Arabidopsis thaliana: one gene and its partner. The protein of the gene in region 1 interacts with the protein of each later gene in a pairwise test. Each region holds a gene or a part of one and is shown in the gene's direction. Other genes may lie near its edges.

Evidence for each region. The genes of interacting proteins can lie anywhere in the genome.
Region 2: the proteins of CHX6A (region 1) and AT3G57880 interact in a protein complementation assay, tested with the Arabidopsis thaliana proteins (one large-scale study listed by BioGRID).

What each region holds. Positions count from the first base shown.
Region 1 is NC_003070.9:2,549,871-2,560,796, reverse strand, and holds CHX6A (cation/H+ exchanger 6A), read left to right. Parts: upstream 1-5,567; 5' UTR 5,568-5,722; coding exon 5,723-6,001; intron 6,002-6,096; coding exon 6,097-7,116; intron 7,117-7,210; coding exon 7,211-7,873; intron 7,874-8,096; coding exon 8,097-8,591; 3' UTR 8,592-8,862; downstream 8,863-10,926. Other genes in the region: AT1G08160 (Late embryogenesis abundant (LEA) hydroxyproline-rich glycoprotein family), read left to right, coding at 460-1,125; ATCHX5 (Cation/hydrogen exchanger family protein), read left to right, coding at 1,723-2,025, 2,107-3,126, 3,231-3,890, 3,990-4,454; CHX6B (cation/H+ exchanger 6B), read left to right, coding at 9,324-9,611, 9,696-10,712, 10,806-10,926. UniProt on the Arabidopsis thaliana protein: May operate as a cation/H(+) antiporter.
Region 2 is NC_003074.8:21,432,678-21,440,841, reverse strand, and holds the start of AT3G57880 (Calcium-dependent lipid-binding (CaLB domain) plant phosphoribosyltransferase family protein), read left to right. Parts: upstream 1-6,193; 5' UTR 6,194-6,574; exon of another isoform or gene 6,575-7,152; 5' UTR 7,153-7,205; intron 7,206-7,285; 5' UTR 7,286-7,322; coding exon 7,323-8,164. Other genes in the region: AT3G57890 (Tubulin binding cofactor C domain-containing protein), read right to left, coding at 237-377, 507-611, 697-1,071, 1,217-1,357, 1,446-1,553, 2,065-2,571. UniProt on the Arabidopsis thaliana protein: Required for proliferation and differentiation of shoot stem cells in the shoot apical meristem (SAM), thus determining the appropriate balance between the maintenance of shoot stem cells and their differentiation into other aboveground plant parts via the control of subcellular localization and intercellular trafficking of STM in the shoot apex.

The sequences.
Region 1 (10,926 bases):
CATACACCACACGAAGTCTCCTTTTCTTTATTTTGCTGTGTGTTAATGAAAATGTAATATTTACATGTAAATGCAGTTGTTGATGTTAGATATAAATATGCGTACGACAAAATTTACAGACGAATCGGATAGAGAAAACATAAATGTTATCAACACCCAAGTTGTAGTGTTGTACAACGTTACAAAAAGAAGCAAAGAATTAAAACCAAAAAAAAAAAAAAAAAAAGTAGGAATCTTCCAGCTTCCAAGATTTCTTGATTCATTCACAAGCAATGCTAAAGAATTAAGAATTTTAAATCAGTAGTTTTGTGACTAATCCTTATACAAAGGCAAAGAATCTAATTGTCCGTGTTAGTCCCTTTATATATATCGTCGAACCATATCAAAGCAATCAAATCAATCTTTGCTCTCTATCCTTTCCAAGCAATTAACTGAAGTCCATCAAAACCTTCTCTGACAATGGTGCCTCCAAACCCAGCCCACCAACCGGCTCGGCGAACGCAACCGCAACTGCAACCCCAATCGCAACCTCGAGCACAACCCCTGCCGGGCAGGCGTATGAACCCCGTCCTATGCATCATCGTCGCCCTCGTCCTCTTGGGACTCCTCGTGGGTCTCGCCATATTGATCACATACCTCACACTCAGGCCAAAGCGACTCATCTACACGGTAGAAGCCGCGTCGGTCCAAGAGTTTGCTATAGGCAACAATGACGATCACATCAACGCAAAATTCAGCTACGTGATCAAATCATACAACCCGGAGAAACATGTCTCCGTAAGATACCACTCCATGCGTATCTCCACGGCTCATCATAACCAGTCCGTGGCTCACAAAAATATCTCTCCTTTCAAGCAACGTCCTAAGAACGAGACTAGGATTGAGACGCAGCTTGTGTCCCACAATGTGGCACTGTCTAAGTTCAATGCCAGGGACTTAAGGGCTGAAAAATCAAAAGGGACGATCGAAATGGAAGTGTATATAACGGCTAGAGTGAGCTACAAGACGTGGATTTTCCGGTCGAGAAGACGTACGTTGAAGGCTGTGTGTACGCCGGTAATGATCAACGTTACATCAAGCTCGTTGGATGGATTCCAGAGAGTGTTATGCAAAACTCGTCTTTAGTTTGATTTATCCTCATCTTGAATTGGTTTCATTTGTGTGCAAAATTTGCTATATGTGACATTGATTGATTGTGTGTGTGTTTTTCCTTTTTAAATTTCCTCTTTGGTTTTGTTCTTTTCTGCCAGTCATTCCATTTCTCTTTTCTTTTCATCATTAATTATTATATTTTTTATTTTTTTGGGCTTAAAATGCTTTACATTTTTATTGCTCTGTAAGTGATTCGATTTTTATTTCTAATAATATATGACGATTTAATAACTTCATCAAGATTTTTATAACGTAAGATTACATGCAAAATCCGTATATGTCGGGATCTCTAACAAAACTTGGATAGACACAAATTGATGGAGGTTCTTAAATAAGCAGAGAGGTAAAACAAACATATAAATTAGTCGCCAGGTACGTAAACAGACAGTTAACAACAACAAGATAAAAAAAAAAAATAGAGAGAGACAAAGATTATCAACTATTTTTAGTAGTGTTAATTTCTTCTAATAAGACAATGTAACACCAAGATTTTGTAATTTTTTCTGGAAACTGTAAATCTCTTTCTCTTGATCTTTTTCTTCTCTTGAGAAGAAAAAGAATCTAGGAGAAATGGAGTCGCGTAACGAGGCATATGAGGGGGCATACAACGCAACCTTCTGGGGGGATTTCTCATATCATGGATATGGCTTTAGTGAAGACGGGTCCAAGTTCTGCGAACAAATACCGATTCTTGTGAACTCTTTTGGCGTGTGGGAGAAGCTAGATTTACCTATACGCGGGATGAAGATATGGGACTACAGTCTTCCCCATCTCGAGAGCGTAATCGTCCTAGTTCTCTGTTTATGGCAGTTTTTTTATTTATCCCTAAAGAAGATAGGCCTCCCTGTGCCAAAGATCACCTCCATGATGATTGTAAGAACCCTTTCTTCCTCTTTTGTTCTTTTGTATAAAAGTTGTTTGCATTGACTGATTGATCGGAAAATTATGTTGAAGGCCGGGGCAGCTTTGAGCCAAACGAATCTTTTGCCGAATGACTGGACGATCCAGCACATTTTATTCCCGGATGATACTAGGCCAAAAGTGCCTGAGACGCTAGGTGGGTTCGCTTTTGTCTTTTATTGGTTCATCGAAGGTGTTAAAATGGATGTTGGGATGGTTAGGAAGACAGGTACGAAAGTGATTGTAACAGGAATTGCCACTGTTATTCTCCCCATTATCGCGGCCAACATGGTGTTTGGTAAGCTAAGAGAGACCGGGGGGAAATACTTGACAGGAATGGAGTACAGAACAATTTTATTCATGCAGAGCATCTCGGCATTCACGGGTATCTCAAGGCTATTAAGGGATCTCCGGATCAACCACTCAGAGTTCGGCAGGATCGTGATTTCGACCGCTATGGTGGCGGATGGAACGGGTTTTGGTGTTAATCTATTTGCCCTTGTGGCTTGGATGGACTGGAGGGTTTCTGCGCTGCAAGGCGTAGGAATTATCGGATATGTCATATTCATGGTTTGGGTTGTGAGACCGGCCATGTTTTGGGTGATCAAACGGACACCACAAGAGAGACCGGTGAAGGAATGCTTCATCTACATCATACTCATTTTAGCCTTCGGTGGTTACTACTTTTTGAAGGAAATTCACATGTTTCCGGCTGTTGGACCCTTCCTTTTGGGTTTGTGTGTGCCTCACGGTCCTCCTCTAGGGTCTCAACTGGTAGAAAAGTTTGAAAGCTTTAACACTGGAATCCTTTTGCCACTTTTCTTGTTCTTCTCAATGCTGCAAATCGATGGACCTTGGTTAGCTAACCAGATCGGTCAACTAAGGCATTTTGACGGTCAGTTGTATGAAGCCTTGACCATCATCATCGTTGTCTTTGTCGCCAAGATTATCTTCTCAATGATTCCTGCATTGCTAGCCAAAATGCCTCTGACCGACTCTTTCGTTATGGCACTCATCCTCAGCAACAAAGGAATTGTTGAGCTGTGTTATTTTCTGTATGGAGTTGAAAGCAATGTGAGTTCCCATATTTAACTTTATATTCAAGACAATTCAACTCTCCAACACTTAATGTTTTTTTTTTTCTTTCTGTCTTATAAGATTATTTTGTTGTGTTACAGGTTCTTCATGTGAAGTCCTTCACGATTATGGCAACGATGATTTTAGTGAGCTCTACGATATCACCAGTGTTGATACATTACCTATATGATTCGTCAAAACGATTCATTAGTTTCCAGAAGCGGAATCTAATGAGCTTGAAGCTTGGATCAGAGCTGAAGTTTCTAGTGTGCATTCACAAAGCAGACCACATCTCAGGGATGATCAACCTTCTAGCACAGTCTTTTCCTCTACATGAATCCACAATAAGTTGCTACGTGATTCACCTCGTCGAGCTTGTGGGTTTAGACAATCCAGTCTTTATCTCCCACCAAATGCAAAAAGCCGAACCTGGAAACCGGTCTTATTCAAACAACGTCCTAATCGCTTTTGATAACTTCAAACATTACTGGAAATCGATATCGCTGGAATTGTTCACATGCATCTCAAACCCTAGGTACATGCATCAAGAGATTTACTCGCTCGCTCTCGACAAACAAGCTTCTTTTCTCATGCTCCCTTTCCACATTATATGGTCCCTTGACCAGACAACGGTGGTCTCAGACGATGTCATGCGTAGGAACGCTAACTTAAATGTCTTGAGACAAGCACCTTGCTCCGTGGGGATCTTTGTCCATCGTCAAAAGCTTTTATCTGCGCAAAAGAGCAGTCCGTCTTTTGAGGTAACACATATTTGAAGGTTTGATTGTTCCATACGCTAATCATTAGTTTCCGTGCTTGAATTTGTGTTTACGTGTGAAACTTGATTTGTCTAAAACCAGGTCTGCGCAATTTTCGTGGGCGGGAAAGACGACAGAGAAGCCTTGGCATTGGGAAGGCAAATGATGAGGAATCCGAATGTGAACCTGACAGTGTTGAAGCTAATCCCAGCGAAAATGGATGGGATGACTACAGGGTGGGATCAGATGCTGGACTCGGCAGAGGTTAAGGAGGTTCTGAGGAACAATAACAATACTGTTGGACAACATAGTTTTGTGGAATACGTAGAGGAGACAGTTAACGACGGTTCCGACACATCAACACTCCTTCTCTCGATTGCTAATTCTTTTGATTTATTCGTGGTGGGGAGGAGCGCCGGAGTAGGGACCGACGTGGTGAGTGCATTGAGTGAGTGGACGGAGTTTGATGAGTTAGGTGTGATTGGAGATCTGTTGGTGTCTCAAGATTTTCCCCGTAGAGGGTCGGTGTTGGTGGTGCAACAACAACAGAATGTAGCTTGTAGATGATATTACATTGGCAACTACTCTTTATTCATTTATAAGATACAAAAAATAGAAATACACTTCTCACACGAGACACATTTGTAGCCCCAAATTTTTAAGTGACAGTTCGTCTCCGTGGCCTTGTGATGATAACATTTGCAAATATGACTTTAAATTTAATTGATTCCACATAATTTTTTAAAAACAATGAAATCAGAAAAAAATAGTACATGTTTTATAATTAAATTAACATTCAATGTGAGAGTTACATCTATTTACATGTTTTACAAGTTTTAATCTCCTTTTCGCTATACAATAAAGAAAAACGGCAAAAATAAGCAAACTAGACAAATAAATTACATAGCAAATTAGTATATAGTCTTAAAAGACCTACTTGCCACCAATTTGATCATTAAAAATGATGAGAATTTCACGCACGTAGTATACATTCAATGAAATTACCCAATTAAAACCTTTAGAGGAATCTATTACCAACCAATAGGAATTGAGTTCAAAATGGTTTGTAGGTGATTTACACTTGTTCTCATTTCTTTATAGTCTTAAGACCACAAATACGACTAGCCAATGAATATTTAATGCCTAACTACTTGGAAGAATCTTAATCCTGTGATTATGCTTTACGTATACGTAGGGTTCAAGCATTAATTAGTAATTTTGAATTTGGAGAAATTTTATAAGAGAGTAATTTGGTATCCTGACCTAGGTACAATATTCTTTAGTTTATATTGTTATTTATCTTACCCTGCCTTGATTAGTAAGACTCTTTTAGTATCCATTTTCCTTTGCTATATTATTTGGTTTAATTTGCATGCTTAGCTGTTTGAATGACTTAATTTGTATGGTGATTTTAAAGTATAAGTTCCTATTTCACCAAACATAGAAAAAATTGTCAAAACAAAAATATATATATCCCTGAGAAAGTGTGCAAGTGGATGCAAAATTCCCTAAATATATATCGTTATATGTATAGCTTTGGCGTTGTTGATTGGTGAAATAGACGATGTACAATCATACGTGTGCTAATGTTGACAAGGAACAAGAGATGGAGAAGAATGAAGCTATAAAAAGAAAACAAAATGGGTAAATATTAACTGTACCTGAGATGCGTATCTGTTGTTTGCTGGTTATTCGACCTTAATTAGTCAACGTTTATAACAAAACCATCCCTAGTCTTCTTCTTTCCCAATCGAATTACAAACCCTAAATCATTCCATTAGATCTTCTTGATCCCTAAGCAAGTCTCTTCGTTAACTTTTGTCTTTCTCCTTAAAATGGCTACAGAGGAGATAGACATGAGTTATTGGGACGTGTCATGGGGAGAATTCAATGAAGACAAGAACTCGTCTATCTTCTGCGAGTCACACCCTCACATAGTAAATTCGCACGGGATATGGGAGGTTATGACTTTCAAGAGAGGGATGAACTTCTGGGAATATCCGCTCCCGAATCTCGAGATCTTAATCTTTTCTACTTTTTTTATATGGCGGCTTCTCGACATCTCATTCAACAAAATTGGTCTTCGAGTACCTAGATTCACATATATGATGATCGTGAGTTTTCTTAATCTCCCTCTTCCCTCCACGTTTTAAATTTTAAAATCAGTACGGTGCATATTCCTAAACGTTGTAATGCCTTGTTGTTGAAGGCAGGGATAATTTTAGGTCAAACTTGCCATTTCAGCAACAAGTCTTGGATCCATGACATTTTTTTCCCTGATGATAACCGACCAAAGGTGGCCGAGACCCTAGGGGCTTTCGGCTTCGTTTTATATTGGTTCCTCAAAGGTGTGACCATGGATGCCGAATTGCCATTTAGGACGGAGAAAAGGTCTAGTGTGATCGGATTCATTACAGTAATTATACCCTTGATTTGTGGCAGCCTCACTTTTAGATATAGAGAACGAAGAGGGGACTCAAGCATATTAAGGATGGAATACAGGTTGATCATATTCTTGCAAAGCATATCCGCGTTCACGAGCATCGACACACTCCTAAAAGACCTCCAGATCAAACACTCAGAGTTTGGGAGGATAGCCCTCTCTGGGGCTATGGTGACTGACATGTTGGCTTTTGGTGTAACATTTTTTAATGCAATCTACTACGAAAAATTGTACGGCTTCATGCAAACCGTAGGTTTCTGCCTCTTTGTCGTCGTTATGATATGCGTTGTGCGGCCGGCTATGTATTGGGTGATCAAGCAGACTCCAGAAGGGAGGCCGGTCAAGGATTTCTACCTCTACTCGATTTTTGGGATTGCTTTCGCCTGCTTCACTTTTTTTAACAAGGTTATTCATCTTTTTGGACCCGCGGGATCATTTGTTTTCGGCTTGACGGTTCCAAATGGATATCCTTTAGGTACTACTTTGATTCAAAAGTTTGAGAGCTTTAATCTTGGCTCTATTTTGCCACTCTTTGGATCATTAACCATGATGCAAGTAGATCTCTTACGGTTGTTCAAAGAGAGTGGAGATTTAATACGGATGGAGGGTCAAATCTATGAGGTCATTTCCTTTATTCTTTTGGTGAATACCACAAAATTCGTTGTTACCACCATAACCGCGTATGCTTTTAAAATGCCCTTGAGAGACTCTTTTGCTTTAGCCCTTGTGCTTAGTAATAAGGGGATCTTCGAGCTCGCCTACTACACGTACGCGGTTGAATTAAAGGTGCGTACAATTAAACTCTTCTATATATATTTAAAGTCAGAAGAATTAGTTTATTTTCATAAAAATTAATCAAATCTTTGGACATGTTTCACAGCTAATAAGGCCAGAGGTTTTCACAATCCTAGCTGCCTACACCCTCTTGAACTCTATCTTTATACCAATGCTCTTGGAGCTCGTGCATGACCCAACCAAAAGATTCAGATGCTACCGAAAAAGGAATTTGGGCATCTTGAAAGACGGTGCGGCTCTCCAATGTCTTATGTGCGTCTACAGACCTGATCACATAACTTCCATGACCGACCTCTTGGAAACTTTTAGCCCATCACAAGATTCCCCAATGGCGTGTAACATACTTCACCTCGTCGAGCTTGTGGGTCAAGCCAATCCTATGTTCATTTCCCACCAGTTGCAAAAACCAGAGCCCGGAAGTACTTCTCTGTCTGACAATGTCATAATCTCCTTCCGTGGCTTCCAAAGACAATTCTTTGAATACACATCGTTGGATATTTTCACTTCCGTCTCCGTGTCCCAACACATGCATGAGGACATTTGTTGGCTAGCCCTATCCAGAAGCCTATCTTTGATTGTGCTTCCTTTCCACCGAACCTGGTCCGTTGATCGATCCACGGTTATCTCCAACGATGATAATCTGAGAATGCTCAACGTTAACGTCCTGAGACGAGCCCCATGCTCTGTTGGAATCTTCGTCTATCGCAAGCCCATCGTTGAATCTCATATGGCTAAGTCCCACAGCAAGGTGCTTTTCATTTTATTTTGAAAACTAATTAATTATCCGTTTGGGTACGTGAAAATACAAATTTCAGAATTTTATAAAATCTAAAAGAATATTTTTGCAACGTCTAAATGAAATTAAATGCTGAAAGAAAATCTTTTCATTTTCCTTTACCATTTATGATGAACAAAAGAAATGGTACTAATATATTAGCATTTTTAACCTGATAAAACTCTCATCTTTGCAGATATGTTTGATTTTTAACGGTGGAAAAGACGATAGAGAAGCTTTGGCGATAACAAATCGAATGAGACTGACAGAAAAACGAACAAGGCTAACGATCATAAGATTCATTCCAAAATCTTCTGAAATGGATAACGATGAGTGGGAGCAACAGCAATCGATTAACCTAAAGGAGTCCGTGACTAGCATCGTTGGGTCCAACATCAAAGAAAATGATGCCAAGGTGACATATATCGATAAGGCGGTTTCTGATGGATCTGAGACCTCAAGAATCTTACGAGCAATGGCAAATGATTATGACTTGTTTATCGTTGGAAGCGGCAGCGGAATAGGAACTGAGGCTACTAGCGGAATTAGTGAATGGACAGAGTTCAATGAATTGGGACCTATTGGAGATTTATTAGCATCACATGAATATCCTTCAAGTGCATCAGTGTTGGTTGTTCAAAAACAAGTGTACATTCATCATACAAAAAGCCAAAGGAGAAAATCTTTCTAAGAAATAATGCGAGATATGTTCAATGCTCAGCTTTTCAATGTTGTATTTCTCTACATCAATAAACATTAGTTTTAGGCTGCTTGAAGTTATGGAGTAATTGATTCGAGTTTCTTCTGGATATGATGATATAAACTTCACGATTTTTTTAATCAAATTTTGAGTTAACAAGATTAGAGTAATTTCTTGTGGCAGTGCCTGCTCTATGATAACGCCTTCCAACTATAGCTGCCTTTGTTATCACAATTCAAAAATATATATTCTCTTGTAGTAACAGGGTCTGTTTAACATACACACTTTGTCACGTTATAATTAAGTTTAGTATGTGTTAGAGATATCAGAGGGAACAGAGCAAAATACTCTGTTTTTCTCAACAAAAAGAGATTTTGGTACCTAACAGAGTACTCTGCTCTGTTCCCTTTGATAAAAGATTGAATTTGAGGTCTTAATTAATGGATCATCTTATTAAAAATGGGTAAAGCGTTTATTTAGACTGCCTAAAGAGGTCATTTTATTTTAAAGTAATACAACTTACAAGCGCCAAAAACAAAGACAACACCTGGACGAGACAATCCCTATATTTATACCCTTATCCTAATTTTAGAGATCCTTTGGGATCTGTGTGAAACCATCAGACCGGTTTTAATTTTAGTTCTTTTTTTGACTGCAAAATCTTTTCATTGTCAATTTTTTTTTTTGTTCTTTTTGGTTTTACGTAGACAAGATTTGTCCCAAATGGATGCAGAAAATGCGACTTGGCGCAAAGAGTTCATGTGGAACAACGATGAGAAAAGAGCAGAGATGGGGACGAAGATGTTTTGCGATGTAAGTCCACATATAATGTTGAACTCACATGGCGTTGCAGAGAAAATGGCTTCCGGATCTAAGGGAATGGATTTTTGGGAGTACCCTCTTCCACAATTGGAGATCATTATTCTCTCCATATTCCTATTATGGCGTTTATTTGATATGTTGTTCAAGAAGTTAGGTGTTCCTATCCCCAAGTTCACCTCCATGATGCTTGTACGTAATTACGGGTTTCAAATATCCGCATGTCATTGGGGATGTTCGAATAATATAACACATTTTCTTTTCTTGTTCTTGAAGGTCGGAGCAGTCTTAAGTGAGATGTTTGGATCTATGCAAATACCATGTTTAAAGCATATATTTATCCATTATAACCAGTATATGACAAAGGTTCCTGATACTATAGGCGCATTTGCTTTTGTCCTAGATTGGTTTCTAAGGGGAGTGACTACAGATGTTGGAATAATGAAAAAGTCAGGAACTAAGAGTGTTGTAATTGGGATCACCTCAATGATCATCCCATGGCAAATAGGAAAACTCCTTTATTCATCTAGAGAGAAATCAAGTATTCTGACCATGACAGAAATGGAGTATACCGTAATGACATTCACAATGAGCATGACGCCTTTCACTTGCGTCAACATGTTGCTTACTGACCTCAAGATAGTTCACACTGATTTCGGCCAAATAGCTCAGTCAGCGGGAATGGTAACAGATTTGCTTGCCTTTTTCTTGACTGTATCGGCTTACGTTAGCCGTGATGAAACTCAAGGAGTGAAAATGGGATTAGCTTTTATGGCATTCTTTATTTTTGTGTACCTTGTGCGACAATTTATGCTTTGGGTTATAAGACATACGCCAGAAGGAGCCCCGGTGAAGAACGTCTATCTCTACATTGGTCTCTTGCTTGCTTACTTATCTTATCTTTATTGGAGCCGCTTCTTATTCTTCGGACCGCTAGGGGCATTTGCTCTTGGTTTGGCTGTCCCTAACGGGCCGCCATTAGGATCAGTATTTATACAAAAATTCGATAGCTTCAACGAGGGCATTTTTTTACCCCTCTTTGGATCACTTAGCATGATCAAACTAGATTGGTCATTTCTACGAAAGGAGTTTGGAAATGGAAGGCATCTCCATGGACATATGTACGAGTGTTTTTCCTTCCTTCCCATCGTATACATAGCGAAATTCGCTACTTCGTTTTTAGCCGCCTTAGCTACAAAGATACCTTTGAGAGACTCAATTATCCTAGGTGTCATTATGGGCACCAAGAGTAGTTTCGAGTTGGGTTACGTACTTACAGCCTTCGAAAAAGACGTAAGAATATTTTAGCTATACTCATATAACGGATATGATGATCATCTTAATTTGTATATATATTTCTGTTTTAATGTTTCTCATTTTTAACAGAGGATTAGTCTGGAGGTCTTGTCGCTCCTGGGCGTATACATTCTCGTAAACTCTTTGTTAACACCAATGGCTATACATTTCCTGTATGACCGGTCTAAGAGATTTGTGTGTTACGGAAGAA
Region 2 (8,164 bases), on another chromosome or scaffold:
TTCTTGAGGAAAACATTTGACTAAACGTATCTAGCAGCAGTCTAGCCACCCCTCCAAGTTTGTTTCCACTAGACTTGATGACGTGTCCGAAACGGCTTATTAACCAAACTAACCAAACTAAATCTAGTAAAAAGTCTAGCCACTCAATTTTTTTTACCTTAATATCAGAAAGGTAAATAAGAGCAACATGACATAAAACTTGTAAATTAAACCACAATCTTAAAGAGAAGCTTCACCTGCAGTTTGTGGTTATCACCAACAATAAGTGGCCGCTGATTGACTCCCAAGAAGAATACACATTCACGACAATTGGCAATGCACACTCGTTTGGCAGCTACAATCACATGAACTCTTTCACAGTGCTCAACTTTTATTGCCTGCAGAAATAAATACGGAATTATGTTTGATACATCTTTTAATAAAAGTTGGCAGATATTATAACTTGTTAAATGTTGCTTTGACTATCTTCAGAAAAGATAAAGAAGGAAGAAGCATTGTTTCCATACCTTGCCAACAGCTCCCAAAACTATAGTAGTATCAGAACATCCGTGCACAGTTGCATATCGCAATGGTGCTAAAAGATAAATTACAGAATCATGGCAATTGACAACCTGAAAAATACACAAAACAAGGAGTTGACATGCTTGCACAGAGATTCCATGACTGGAAGAAAAACGGAACAAGGAACAGTCAGACCTTCACAGATCTACCCCTTAGATCGGAGGCTTGCTTAACAAGTGAAGTCTTGGAGACTCCCTCGATTAAACACGGGCCTCTAGTACTAGGTGCAACCTTGTTCGGAGCAGCACAAACATCTGACATCGCATCATCTTGATCGTTAGAAGGTCCGTTCTCTTTTCCAGAAATTCTCTCAGTAATGCTTTCTAAAGCGGAAGCTATGTTTTGCAGAAGCCAGTCATGCACTTGGGAAGCGGGGACTGGAACAGCGGGCATATCCGGATCAGAATTTGCAAAAAAAGGAGTAGCTTGGCTCAATGGAGATACATCAGATCCCTTATCACCAAACTGAACAAGAAAACGCAGATGCTCGAACGCCTCCATAGAGAAAACCTGAACGATATTGGACAAGAAAAAAAAAATTAACTTGTGTTCTCTTTCATTTCCTAAAAAATTCTTATTCCAACATCAGAATTTTATATTCTTGTAGCTTAGAACAGTGACACCCCCTGAGAATATAAGAAAGATTAGAACTTACCAATGATTCATCTCCTTCTCCCTCCACAGGCTCTGCAAGGAGAGAAATGATGTTTGCTAAATGTTTTTGCAGATATGACAACTGATGAGCTTCATCATCTGCCTGTGATGGCATAAATCGACGGCTGTTGCTGCGAACAAGCTGCAGAAATGATGAAAAGGAGATATAAATAACAATTTTAGCTCCAATAAAGTTGGTTCGACCCATGTGATGAGAAACGATAGAATACCAAAGAACAGTGACTGTAGAAAACACTGAAAAGCTTAAGATTATATGACTGTTTTCTAAAAGACTCAATAGAACATCCATACCACACAGGAAACAGAATATTACAGGACTGGAGACCCGAGTCAAAATTCAAGAACACACCAAGCATTATCACCAAATAAACCACGTGAAAGGACCAAACAAAATAAGGTACAACGGAAAAAGAATCAGATTCCGAACCACAAAACAAAGCAAGCTGGCGACTGTTTGACTTTAGTTAGTAAACTAACCAATTACCATTGCCCCAGAGTCATCAGAGAAAGGGGACTGGCAATTAAATACAAGTAAGCATCTTCCTCATTGAGAATTGTTACGAAACTATAGCCACCATCAATTCAATTAATCACCCAAATTTCCGACATTGCTTAACTCTAAGTTTCAGGTAAATCAAATGACTCAGAAAACTTAAACTTGCATTGCAAATTTTAGTTAAATACAATGCGAAATGGAAATAAGTTATTCTCTACCACGTTCCAATTCCATACTCGAGTACAACAGTTCCATTTCAATACCAAACAAATCGCAGGCGCTGGGATTGAGGCACATTATAATAAGAGGGCCAAAAAAAGTAAGAAACTTGCCTGAATTGGCGATAACGCAGACAAGTATCCATCAAAAGCTGAAGTCGATGGCCAAACATCAGCCACCGCTGCGGAGTCCTTATGCGTCCTAGGAAGCAACTTCTTATACGATTGAATGTACAGGAACAAAATAAGATCCCGCAAATCAGCTCCGACGGAATCAACTTCCTCAGGTTTCGCCCGAACCAGAGGGTCAGACTCGGAATGAAGCACCGAACCGAGAGTCTCGAGAACGAGACGCGCATGGTCGCCGGAGATCTGGAGAACGTCGGCGATTGCAGCCGATCCAACGCGGTTATTCGAAGCCGCATCGGCTAGCTTCTGCTTGACAGGGGCTAAGGTTTGGATCGGGTCGGTGAAAACGAGTTTCTGGATCGGGAGGAGTCCGTGCTCGAAAGACACACGCCTTGGATGGATTACTGAATTCGGATTCGTGCTCGAGTTTGGTTCAGGGTCGGGTGCTGAAGGTGGTGGTGATTGGTCGATGAGGTCTTGTTCTTCAGTCATGATTGATTCGTCGCGCGAGGTAGAGAGACAGAAGAGATAGAGAGAGACTGGTCCGGTGGTGAAGTTGCAGATCTTTCTTTGGGTGACGAATCATTTCATTGAAGGAGAAGAGCAGAGAGAGAGATGGTTACAGTGCGTGCACGTGTATGTTAGTAACGTACGCTTCGTTTCTTTGGTCGTTGGATTTACGAGTAGATTAACCTTTGATCTGAGCTATGACACGTCAGATGAACGGAGATAACATGTTAACTAAAGAGGCCCATTTGAGAATTGAATGCAAATCGCATTTAAGTTTTAGTTAGGCCATTGTTGCAATAAGTTAGGTCCTAAGCGTTCGTCAAAAGGAGAAAAGGTGATCATCACAACTCATAATTAGGTTTTACAATAGGGAAATATACTTGGTTACCTAAGTACTTGTAAGTTGTCACTGTTAATTAAAATTGTTAGAAGATTAGTGGGAAAAAGAGAGATAAAATTGGGAAGTTTAGGCCAAAAGAACTCATAACTCGCTTTCATTGCAATTTAAATATTGTCCGCTTGTTTAAGGAAAATGGTTTGCAATGGGTAAACATCGTTTAAATGAGACGGTTATGTTTTTTAGCAGTTACAGAAAAAGGCGGGTAGAAAAAAACGGTTAGAAAAGATGAACAACCTAAAATTAAACCAATTGGTAATATCGTTTAAATAAGGCGGTTATTTTATTTAACACTTACAAAAAAGACTGATAAAAAAAAACGGTTAGAAAATATATTAAAAGAAAAAATGATAAATAATTTAAAATGAACCGTTAAATAATAGTTATGATTAGTAACAAACGGTTAAACAGTAAAAAAAAAAAACTAAATTAAAATATTTAATAAATAACTAAAAATATTTAAAAAACAAAGAAAAACAAAACTCTTTAGTAAATAATTCAAATACATTACAGTTTTAAAAATCTAAGAAACGTTAAATAACTAAAATATTCCAATGGTGAACAAGAGAGGTTGCAAACTCACCTATTTTGTTTAAGCTTTTAACCGTTTGTTTCAATCACCTATTCTTACCACTCGTTTCATCCGTCTATTGCAAGCAATTATTTGATTGGTAATCAAACTAACGGTTGAATTTATCGCCGTTAAATAAATGTTATCAAGCTACTATTGGAATTCGGAAAGGGAACACTATCAACTTTTGGATTCTTAGGTTATCTCATTCATTCAGCTAGCTCAATATTCTGATTTGATTTGATTTGATCCGTTTCGATTCGGTATTTGATTTAATTTGATTCGAAAAATCCGAATATTCGTAAGATTTTGGAGCAAAGCAAATAGAAAAATATAGTATTCGTAAAAATCGAATCAAATAATAAATATTGTTTTTTAAAAAATCGAATATCCGCTTCGATCCGTATCTTTTTATATATATTAGAAAATATAGTATATCTATATATAGATATCATAAATAGTTTGTGTATTGTTGTCATTTTATGTTTTTATGTTAAGATGTTTGTTTGATCATTTTTTTTTATGTTATGTTTTGATCAATGGCATCAAAAAACTATCGGGTTTTAGTTTTGGAATTAGTTTGATAATATTTTGTTGACCGGTGATACCAACAACGGTTATGTTTGGTATTTAGAACTTATTTTAAAAGCACACGGAGACACCAATTAAGGAACGCACGGATAAATTTTTTGAATATATGATATAGTTATATAGTATACATATTTTTTTAATATTTAAATGTATCAAAGCGGATATCCGCAAATATCACAAAAAATTCCGGATATTCGAAATTCCGGATATCTGGAAATTTTCGAAGTAAAGCGAATCACAAAATCAAGTATTCGTTTAAAACGAATCGAATAACAAATATCATAATTTTTCCGGATATCCGCTTCGTGCCCATACCTAATTCTGAGTATAAAATTTAATATTTTTTCTTTATGTAAATACACAAAAAGTGACCATGAACCGTACAGTTTAAAATAGTCATTTTTCGACGAAACAATTACCGTGACGTTGTCTTTAAACCTCTGGAGAAAAGATTTACATATTTTTGATAACTGGTTAAACTTGTTTAACGCATTAATCATCTCTTAAGAAAAAGAGTTGTATATATCTCTCTTGTAGATGTGATAAGATATGGATTACAAACTGTCATCTTAGCAAATTTGTCTTCTTCTTTTTTTTTTATCATTTGTCTTCTTATTACACTTATCAAATTATAGTATTAGTTATGACCGTAGTGGGTGACTCGATCGTGGTAAACGTACGGTGGACTGAAATCCTTCAAGTCGAAGCTATACAAATGCGAGCAAAGCATGATCAACACGTGTCATTTGCAACGACTACCAATATCTTCTTTAATTTCTATCTTACTCTAATTATAAAATTAGATTATTGTCCGTGTAAAGTAGCTAATACTTTTGATTAAATTATGTCAAAATACTTGGAGCAGAAGCATTCTCTTAACTACTCGGTGGCACATCATAAAGCTAGAACGAAAAGTAAAAGACGGCCCTCTCAGCAATTAAAGGTGCCACGACCACGAGACCGTTTCGATACTAAATGATTATATACAAATACTGAAATATAGTTAGTACTTGTTATTTAGTTTAAGAACTGAATATACAAATCAACAGATCAAACATATGCAATTTAACTACTAATATAGTATATATGTCCAACTGCCCAAGTCTTGTTTCATAAAATAATGAAGAAAACTTTGGTGACAAATGGAAAAAGAACATTTTGTAAACTAATTATGTCTACCCAACATTAGTCGGTAGAAAGATAATCGCATTTTTGTAACAATTGCTCCGAAGTGTGGATGATTTCCATTTTATACCTAATAAACTAAAATACCAAAGCCACAAGAAGAGTTCGCTAACGCGTTTAAAACTTGTCGTCTATCTATATCCATTTGATAGTATACATTTTGGAATTTTACCCAGAGTTATTTTCTTCTGATTCACCTAAACGAATCATGATGGCTTTTACATAGACAGAAAATAAAAACTTGTTAAAAAGCAAAAGCAGTGACCATTTATTTGTTTGTTTGGATAAACGAAGATAAAAAAATCCTATATCAAGTAAAAAAAGCATGCACATGTCTAGATAGATAAAACACATAAATGTAGGAATTATGAATTCGGATCGTGATAGAGATTTAGACGTTTAAGGTAAATTTTGAAGGAAAGAAAGATAAAATAAAAATACTTATGTAGACAGACAACAAGATAAAACGAAATGGGACCCCCTAACTTATTTATTTCGTTATTGACCAGAAAAATTAACAAAAAATAGTAACGGGGTCCAGCAAAAAGCAAAACACGGCTTTTGTATAAATGTACGTATGCTTCACCCAAAACACTCGAGGATGAGGAATCCAATGACTTCTTCAATTCCATAGTGTTTTTCATTTCTTTTGAGTGGCCAGATCAATTGCACAATTATGCAATAGTTTGTCTGCTAAAATTCCATATTTAGTAAGTTAATAAGAGGGATTATTATAATTTTGTAAAATTTGACCACCGTTGAAAGATTACGCAGGACCGTCGTCTCCCACACGTGTGTAATGTAGGGTATTTCAAAACTGAGAGAAGTATGTCTTTGCGTGTTTTTATTTATAAATGGACCCCACCTCGATTTGGTATGCAACAGTGCCTCTCTTTTTTTTGTATTTCACCGAGTTAAAAAAAGAAGGAAACTGTAGAAAAAAGCAGAAGAAGAAGACGACGACAATAAAACACAAGAGAGAGAGCACACACAAATCCCTTCTTCAATGTTTATTTACTCTCTCCAGAACTTTCTTTTCCCAGTACTTCTCCTCTGCTTTTTATTACTTGTCTTCTTCTCTCTTTAATTTTTTATAAATTTAATTTTGGGTTGAAAAAAACGAGGAAGAAGAGAGGAGAGGAGACTCTTTCTTTTAGTATTTATTTATGGAGGAGGAGAGGAGACTGTCTTAATCGTTTCCGGGTCTCTTATTCTGATCCATTCTTCTCTCAAGATCTAAGGTTTGTCTTCTTTACCTTCCCTTTTTTTTTTTAATCTTCGTCTAACTGCTATTCCATGTATTTTGAGAATTTTATTGAGTAGAGGGTTCTCTTCGTTGTAACTTACTCTAATGGCTATTTTCTCCAACTCGCATGCTCTCTGCTTCTTCTTCTTTTTTTCCCTTTCCATGGTTTTATTTTCTCTCTGTCGTTTTCTGTGTTTGGTGTTGTCTCTCATTGAAATCGAGAAACAAAAGAAGGAAATTTGGGTTTTAAAATCTTCACCCACAGCGTAATTCGCGTTGCTTCATTGTCTTTTTGGTAGTTCTGTTTCCGAGAAGAAGAAAAAAGTATGTTTTCTCTCGATGAAGTTGCTTCATGAATATGTTTTTTTTTTTTTTGGATTCATGAATTTGTGCCGTTAGATTCTGCCTTGGAGATACTAACGAGGTTTTTTTTTGTTTAAGATCTAGAAAAAAAATATACGATGCTTTATTCGAGATTCTTTTTCAACTTTATTATTTCTCTGCATTTTCATCACCTACCCAAAACCTGAGTTTTTTCACTTAGCTTTCTTTGAAATGGTTGTGTTCTCTCAGATTTACTGATTTTGAAGTGGAGAAGAAATTAGTTGTCTCGACAAACCCCACTAGTAAGTTTTTTAACTCTTTTTTAAGCTAATATTGAATATGAATGTTTAATAATCGTTTTTGTGGTTTTGGAACTGTGTAGGAAACTTTGTTTAGTGTGTCTTCTTAAAGCCTGCAAGATGCAGAGACCACCTCCTGAAGATTTCTCCTTGAAGGAGACGAGACCTCATCTAGGTGGAGGAAAACTCTCTGGAGATAAGCTTACCAGTACTTATGACCTTGTTGAGCAAATGCAGTATCTCTATGTTCGTGTGGTTAAGGCAAAGGAGTTACCTGGCAAGGATATGACTGGTAGTTGTGACCCTTATGTTGAGGTTAAGCTTGGAAACTACAAAGGCACCACTAGGCATTTCGAGAAGAAATCTAATCCTGAGTGGAACCAAGTTTTCGCCTTTTCTAAAGATAGGATTCAAGCTTCTTTCCTTGAAGCTACTGTCAAGGACAAGGATTTTGTCAAAGATGATTTGATTGGTCGGGTTGTCTTTGATTTGAATGAGGTACCTAAGAGAGTTCCTCCTGATAGTCCCTTGGCTCCGCAATGGTATAGGCTCGAGGATAGGAAAGGTGATAAAGTCAAGGGAGAGCTTATGTTGGCTGTTTGGTTTGGTACTCAAGCTGATGAAGCTTTCCCTGAAGCTTGGCACTCTGATGCTGCAACTGTTAGTGGTACTGATGCTCTTGCCAACATCCGTTCCAAGGTTTATCTTTCTCCTAAGCTTTGGTACCTCAGGGTTAATGTAATTGAAGCTCAAGATTTGATACCAACTGATAAGCAAAGATATCCCGAGGTTTATGTGAAGGCTATAGTGGGAAACCAGGCGTTGAGGACTAGAGTATCGCAGAGCAGGACTATTAATCCCATGTGGAATGAGGATTTGATGTTTGTCGCAGCAGAGCCATTTGAGGAACCTTTGATCCTCAGCGTGGAAGATAGAGTTGCTCCAAACAAAGATGAAGTCTT